Linked DNA regions of Macaca mulatta. The protein of the gene in region 1 purifies or fractionates together with the protein of each later gene. This does not show direct contact. Links are inferred from orthologs where the notes say so. Each region holds a gene or a part of one and is shown in the gene's direction. Other genes may lie near its edges.

Region 1 (3,555 bases):
TCAAAATTGGAAATGAAAATACATAGTTTAGAGATATTTCTAGAGGAATTCATGATAACTCTGGTTCTTTTTTTTACAGCCATATAATAATTCCATCATATAAATGTACGATTATTTACTTAATATCTTAATGATAGAAGTTTTGGTTTCTAGTCTTTGGTTGTTATAAACAGTGCTACAGTGTAAGTATAGTAAGAATTCACAGAAGTTGGATTCCTAGGTCAAGACTTACCCATTTTGAATTTTGATAAATATTGCTAAATTGCTCTCAGGAAAAGTTGTACTGATTTTACTCCTGTCAACAAATGTGTGAGAATAAAGTGGACTCATTATGCTTATTTATATGTTTTATTCTTATTTGTATGTTTTCAAAATAACTTTATTTTTAAGATTTTAGGTTTTGTCCCAGTACTAATACCCTTATCAGGGGACTGATTCCTTAGCCGTATATGTGAAGCAATGTATTAACGAGAGGGTTTTGCTTCTATTTTTAGCCCTGTGGTTTCCAAACTTTGCAGAGGCATTCTGAGAAGCTGCAGCAAACTCATGTGGTGCCAGGATATTTAAAATTTTTGAGGCAAACACAGGAATGTTAGACATATTGTCAGACACCACATGAACTAGTAGCTTGAGATAATAAACAGTTTCATTATGTTGCTGTACTATATTTTTGTCAGTGATATCATATCTTTGCAAAGCTGAGTTTTTGGCAGTTGCTAAGCTACAAAAGCAAGTATAATGTGAAAATCAAAATGGAACAGGTTTCCAATCTGATTCCAAGATTGGAAAATTATATAGTTCCCCAAGGGCATATACATTCATAAGAATTATGGATATTTAGAACTGAAATTAATATTCTTTTTTTTTCAACTTATGCATATATTTTTCTCAAATTGCTACTCAGTTGTTAGTACATATATACATATTAGGTTATTTAGACATAACTATTTAATAAATGCAAGTGTTAGATATATCTTTTGTCCTGGGACACTGAAAAAAATTACTGAAAACACTACAAATCCTGTGAACTGAGAAAGTTTGGGAACTTCTGTTTTCACTTCTTGAGTGGCATTTCCTTGTTAAACTGTGGTATTTCCTGTTAATAGTGTCTTTAAACCTTCATAATAGGTTTTCCTTAGCTGCTGTTTTTAGCTGGTGTTTCTGTTGGAGATCCTGTACTTCGCACTGGTAAACCCCTCTCTGTAGAGCTTGGTCCTGGCATTATGGGAGCCATTTTTGATGGTATTCAAAGACCTTTGTCGGATATCAGCAGTCAGACCCAAAGCATCTACATCCCCAGAGGAGTAAATGTGTCTGCTCTTAGCAGAGATATCAAATGGGACTTTACACCTTGCAAAAACCTACGGGTATGTCTGTGTAACCAAGAATTTCTGAAGTTCTTGAAAGAATATAAAATGAATGTTTAGTAAACTACATTGTACTGTTAGTCCAAGTAAAAATAGACTACAGAAGCATAGTTTAAATTTTTTCTTAACTCTACTTTGTGGGATTTTAGAACTAATGTTTTATTGATAAGTCAGGTAAATGATTTAAATTATAGCAGCAGGGGCAAGTCTACTTGACATTTATTTGAAAATTAAACAGCAAATACATTTATCCTCTAGGTTGGTAGTCATATCACTGGCGGAGACATTTATGGAATTGTCAATGAGAACTCGCTTATCAAACACAAAATCATGTTACCCCCACGAAACAGAGGAACTGTAACTTATATTGCTCCACCTGGGAATTATGATACCTCTGTAAGTATCATTTGAACTTTATCCTGCAGAGTGGCTCTATTTTTATTATTTATTTTATTTTATTTTATTTTATTTTATTTTTTTTGAGACAGAGTCTTGCTCTGTCGCCCAGGCTGGGGTGCAGTGGCCGGATCTCAGCTCACTGCAAGCTCCGCCTCCCGGGTTTAGACCATTCTCCTGCCTCAGCCTCCCGAGTAGCTGGGACTACAGGCGCCCGCCACCTCGCCCGGCTAGTTTTTTGTATTTTTTAGTAGAGACGGGGTTTCACCGTGTTAGCCAGGATGGTCTCGATCTCCTGACCTCGTGATCCGCCCGTCTCGGCCTCCCAAAGTGCTGGGATTACAGGCTTGAGCCACCGCACCCGGCCTGTGGCTCTATTTTTATATGACAGCTGCCCAGTTTTAGTGCCCTAAGTAATTAAACAATTGATATTTAATATGTAAGTTTTGAGTAACTCCTATAATTTTTGAAGGTTTTTTTGTTTGTTTTTAACTTGGATTCAGGGATAAAAAAGCAGAACATAGTATTTCTTTTTAAAGAAATGTAACAGTTTTCTACCATCTTAACTGATGCTACATTTATTTAAAGCCCTAATTGTTTAGGCATAGAATAGACTTTGATTTTAATGGTGTATTAATATTCACATAATAATTATGTAATAGGACTGGGCGCGTAGTCTCACACCTGTAATCCCTGCACTTTGAGAGGGCGAGGCGGGCAGATCACAAGGTCAGGAGATCAAGACCACCCTGACCAATATGGTGAAACCCCGTCTCTACTAAAAATACAAAAATTAGCCAGGCGTGGTGGCGGACGCCTGTAATCCCAGCTACTCAGGAGGCTGAGGCAGGAAATTCGCTTGAACCTGGGAGGCAGAGGTTGTAGTGAGCTGAGATTGCACCATTGCACTCCAACCTGGGCAACAGAGCAAGACTCTATCTAAAAAAATAATAATAATATAATTGTTATATAATTATTATTATATATTATTATGTAATTATTATTATTATATAATCATATATATTATATAAGATTATTTGAATTATCTTTTTTCTTTTTCTTTTTTTTTTGAGACAGTGTCTTGCTGTGTTGCCCAGACTGGAGTGCAGTGGTGCAATCATAGCTCACTGCAGCCTCAACCTGCTGGGCTCAAGCAATTCTATCACCTCAGCCTCCCAAGTATCTGGGACCACAGGCACATGCCACCATGCCCGGTTAATTTTTTTTTTTTTTTTTTTTTGAGATGGACTCTTGCTCTGTCACTCTGTCACCAGGCTGGAGTACAGTGGGGTGATCTCTGCTCACTGTATCCTCCGCCTCTTGGGTTCAAGCGATTCTCCTACCTCAGCTTTCCAAGTAGGTGGGATTACAGGTGTCTGCCACCACACTCGGCTAATTTTTGTTTTTTTAGTAGAGATGGGGTTTCATCATGTTGGCCAGGATGGTCTTGATCTCCTGACCTCGTGATCTGCCCACCTCAGTCTCCCAAATTGCTGAGATTACAGGCGTGAGCCACCGTGCCCAGCCTAATTTAAAAAAATTTTTTTTAGGGACAGGATCTCATTCTGTTGCCCAGGCTGGTCTTGAACTTCTGTACTCAAGTGATCCTCCTGCCTTGGCCTCCCAAAAGTGCTGGGATCACAGGCGTAAGCTGTAATCCATGCCTGGCACTGGATTAAAACTTAGACCTTTAATGTTATTTACAGTCACATAATACACATTAGGCTCGTAATCTTTATGGGTATGAAGATAACTTTATTGAAAAGACTATCATAGCATATAATTTTCTCCC
Region 2 (4,317 bases), on another chromosome or scaffold:
ACCTCATTGGGCTAATGTTTTTTGTACTTTTAGTGGAGACAGGATTTCACCATGTTGGCCAGACTGGTCTCAAACTCCTGACCTCAGGTGATCCATCTGCCTCGGCCTCCCAAAGTGCTGGGATTACAGGCGTGAGTCACCGTACCTGGCCTGCAGATCCCTTTTTTTTTTTTTTTTTTTTCAGACAGGGTCTCGTTCTGCTGCTCAGGCTCAAGTGCAGTGCCCTGATCATAGCTCACTGTAACCTTGAACTCCTGAGCAAGCCCTGCTGCCTCAGCCTCTCGAGTACCTGGAACTATAAGTGTGCGCCACCACACCTGGCTAATTTTTTTTTTTTTTTTTTTGAGACAGAGTCTCGCTCTGTCGCCCAGGTTGGAGTGCAATGGCACAATCTCGGCTCACTGCAGTCTCCACTTCCCAGGTTCAAGCAATTCTCCTGCCTCAGCCTCTCGAGTAGCTGGGACTACAGGTGCCCACAACCATGCCCAACTAATTTTTTGTATTTTTAATAGAGACAGGTTTTTGCCATGTTGGCCAGGCTGGTCTCAAACTCCTGACCTCAGGTGATCCACCTGCCTTGGCCTCCCAAAGTGCTGGGATTACAGGAGTGAGCCACCGCACCTGGCCTACCTGGCTAATTTTTAAAATTTTTTGCAGAGACAGGGTCTCACTGTGTTGCCCAGGCTGGTCTCCAACTCCTGAGCTCAAGCAATCCTCCTCCATCAGGGAAGCACTCCCAAAGTGCTGGGATTATAGGCGTGGCATGAGCCACCATGCCTGGCCTTACCAATTCTTTAACTTTCCTTGAAGGCCCTACGCTCTCTAGTCAGTACGCCTTTGCATATGCTCTTCCTCTGCCTAGAACACCGTCTTGTCCTCACTTCTATCCCCTTCATCCTGCAGGTCCTTCAGGTCTCAGCTTAGATCTGAAGCAAGTTTCTTGGGGAAGGGTTCTTTGGATGCCCCCTCTCTCCATGGGTTAGTTACCATGGATGTGTGCTTCCATATACTTTTCACATTCTAACCATTAACACACAGCTCTGTAGTCGCCTATTCCCTTGACTTTCCATCTCACTAGACAGTATCATCACTAACTTCTGCATTCCTTTAATTGAACAAATGCGTATTACTTGTTAAATATGTGTCATAGGTACACACATACACGATAAAGACCCAGACCCTGCCGATGAGATCAGTAACTGCGTCTCTTCTCTGGGATCTCGGCGTTTAAACAGCGCCAGGTTCAAATCGCTTGTTGAACGAATGAACCAAGGAAAGAGTCAATGAACGAATGAATGCCCGCGAAGGAGGTGGTGCCGCGCAGCCTTCTGGGAATCGTAGTCCCCTGCTTCGGGCCTGTCTTTATGGCGCAGGCGTATTCACATGGAGGCCGTGTTGCTGTTCATGCGCATGTCCCGGAATGCGGCTCGGAGAACTGCGCATGCCCGAAGGGGGGTGGGGCCGACGGGGAGCCGTACGGCGGAGGCGGGGCTTCGGCGGCTTTTGGTGCTCTCGGGTGAGCTCTGCCCGGCAGCGGGGATGGCGGGGAGGGGGAAGCTCATCGCAGTCATCGGAGACGAGGACACGGTGACTGGTTTCCTGCTGGGCGGCATAGGGGAGCTTAACAAGAACCGCCACCCCAATTTCCTGGTGGTGGAGAAGGATACAACAATCAATGAAATCGAAGACACTTTCCGGTACGGTAGCGCGCGAGGCCTGAACGGGCCCTTCTGCTGCCTGGTGGAGTGCGGGGCGAGGGTGGAGGCGGCCCGGGGACCGAGGCGTGAGGCCCGGACGGGGGTTAGGGGATGGTCGTGAAAGTCCGCCCGCCCGCCGCTGCGCCCCAAGTTCCCGTTTGGGGCTGGGTGGCACCGACGCTGTATCAGGTCCACGAGCTCCCCACCTCACATGATCGTGTGTCAGGAAAGAAGGGGAACAGAGCTCGTGACGGGCTAGGCAGTGGGCTCGGACTTTGTTCTGCTTTCCCCTCCTTTACAGGCTCACCGTCGTCCGGTAAGGCAGGGGTGATTTTGTCCTACTTACAGGTGAGAAAACTAAAGCTTGGAGAGGTTAAGGCACACACTAAAGTTACAAGTGGGCAGAGGCAGACCTGGAATTTGAACCTAATCCTAACCCTTTCTGCCTTTGGTAAGCCAGGTACACACTCTGTACAGCTCTCCTCAGTCGGCCTCGGAATTTCCCTTTGCTCTTGAGCACAGTAGGCAGAAAATGTCAGGACTGTGAGAGCCTTCTGCTAAGACCTTGCACTCAAGCCCTCACTCCCTGCCTTAGGTCAGAGTGTGGGCGCAGACATGCCTTTAATCCACCAGGGGTCCTGGTGACCTGAATTGAGGATAACAGCCTCCTATTCTATCCCTCACCCCTTCTTCAGGTTCGCTGTACTAAGTCTCAGGAATAAACCACTCACCTGTTTCCCCCCAAACAGTCCAGCCCAGGGCTGCCGGCTGAGACTGGTTCCTGCTGCCTGGTGTATTAGGTAGTTCCTGACCTGGTAGGCTGTTACCTGCCGATCTCTAAGCTGTCTGGTAAAGTGACCCAAGTTACCATGGGAGAAGGACAAATTTTACTTCAAGAATTTTTTATGTTTCCAATCAAAAGGGACCTCAGAGATCAAATCTAACCCAGTGACTGGTGGGGGGTGGGTGCTCAGTAAATAATTTTTAACCAGTAAATAAATGAATGAGTCTGGGCGCGGTGGCTCACGCCTGTGATCCCAACACTTCTGGAGGCCGAGGCGGGTGGATCACCTGAGTTCCACCCGCCAGGCTGGTTGGAGTTCGAAACCAGCCTGACCAATATGGTGAAACCCCATTTCTACTAAAAATACAAAAATTAGCCAGGCGTCGTGGAGGGTGCCTGTAATCCCAGCAAATCAGGAGGCTGAAGAAGGAGAACTGCTTGAACCTGGGAGGCGGAAGTTGCAGTGAGCCGAGATCCGCCGCTGCACTCCAGCCTGGGTGACAGAGGGAGACCCTGTCTCAAAAAAATAAAATAAACGAATGAATGGGTGGGTGATCATAGGAGAGGAGGATCACGAGGCCAGGTTCTTTTTGGGCAGAAAGTATGATTCCTTCATCAGAGTGTCCTCTTCCTAGCTTGTGATCTTGGTTCATGCCAGACTTTCCCTCTGACCCCTCCACCACCCTCATCAGCATAGACCTTGAGGCCTTCAGTGGTCTCATCAGCCCTATTTTTAAATTAATTTGTTTTCTTTCTAAAAGTTAATGTGTCCTTTTTTTTTTTTTTTTTCTGAGACAGGGTCTCACTCCTGTCACCCAGGCTGGAGTGCAGTGGCGTGATCACAGCTCACTGTGGCCTCGACTTCCCAGGCTCAAGTGATTCTCCCACCTCAGCCTCCCAAGTAGCTGGGACTACAGTTTCCCAAGCAGCTGGTACATGCTGCCACATCGAGCCAATTTTTTGTATATATGTACACATTTTTTTTTCTTTTTTTTTGTAGAGATGGGAGTCTCACTATGTGGCCCATTCTGGTCTCAAACTGCAGGGTTCAAGCGATCCACCCGCCTCGGCTTCCCAAAGTGCTGGGATTACAGGCATGAGCCATTGCACCCGGCCTTCAGTATCTGCACATAAAAAAGGATCTGTATACATATAATCTTATCCTTCCCCTTTCTGACACCATCACTGCATATTGACATAGGGTTGACACCATCACTGCAGTGTGCACCCTAATTTTCATTACCAGTTCACTTGGAAGCGTTTCAGGCAGCGTTGCAGAAGCCAACCCTAGTCAGCATGACCCTCCGCTTTGGGATGAAATTGATTCTTGGTAGAGTTGACATAGGGTTGAGCGTGGCCGCCTTTCTCCTTGTCCTCTGTGCCCTCTGGGTCACACTCATTCTCCTCCACTGCCCAGCCCAACAACTTGGAGGCAGGAGAGAAGGCAGCCCCCAGAGCTGCCCTAGACTCCCGTCTCATCTCTCCCCACAGGCAGTTTCTAAACCGGGATGACATTGGCATCATCCTCATCAACCAGTACATCGCAGAGATGGTGCGGCATGCCCTGGACGCCCACCAGCACTCCATCCCCGCTGTCCTGGAGATCCCCTCCAAGGAGCACCCATATGACGCCGCCAAGGACTCCATTCTGCGCAGGGCCAGGGGCATGTTCACTGCTGAAGACCTGCGCTAGGGGACTCCTCACAGCCCTCAGCCCTTCCCTCGTTTCCAGGCCTCTCCCCAGGCTTGCCATCAGCCTTCTTTACTTTTTGAGCCTCTGATTTCCAATTCCCTGCCCATTCCCACTCCATTAAGAGGCTAGGTGAGGCACTTCTA

The links.
Region 2: the proteins of ATP6V1A (region 1) and ATP6V1F fractionate together in Homo sapiens (co-fractionation; 3 studies listed by BioGRID and IntAct, with this or other methods). This does not show direct contact. The link is inferred for Macaca mulatta from reciprocal best matches to the Homo sapiens genes ATP6V1A and ATP6V1F.

Annotation. Positions count from the first base shown.
Region 1 is NC_133407.1:169,942,247-169,945,801, reverse strand, and holds part of ATP6V1A (V-type proton ATPase catalytic subunit A), read left to right. Parts: intron 1-1,152; coding exon 1,153-1,367; intron 1,368-1,625; coding exon 1,626-1,763; intron 1,764-3,555. UniProt on the Homo sapiens protein: Catalytic subunit of the V1 complex of vacuolar(H+)-ATPase (V-ATPase), a multisubunit enzyme composed of a peripheral complex (V1) that hydrolyzes ATP and a membrane integral complex (V0) that translocates protons.
Region 2 is NC_133408.1:168,496,779-168,501,095, forward strand, and holds the start of ATP6V1F (V-type proton ATPase subunit F), read left to right. Parts: upstream 1-1,506; 5' UTR 1,507-1,539; coding exon 1,540-1,697; intron 1,698-3,727; coding exon 3,728-3,811; intron 3,812-3,972; coding exon 3,973-4,174; 3' UTR 4,175-4,317. UniProt on the Homo sapiens protein: Subunit of the V1 complex of vacuolar(H+)-ATPase (V-ATPase), a multisubunit enzyme composed of a peripheral complex (V1) that hydrolyzes ATP and a membrane integral complex (V0) that translocates protons.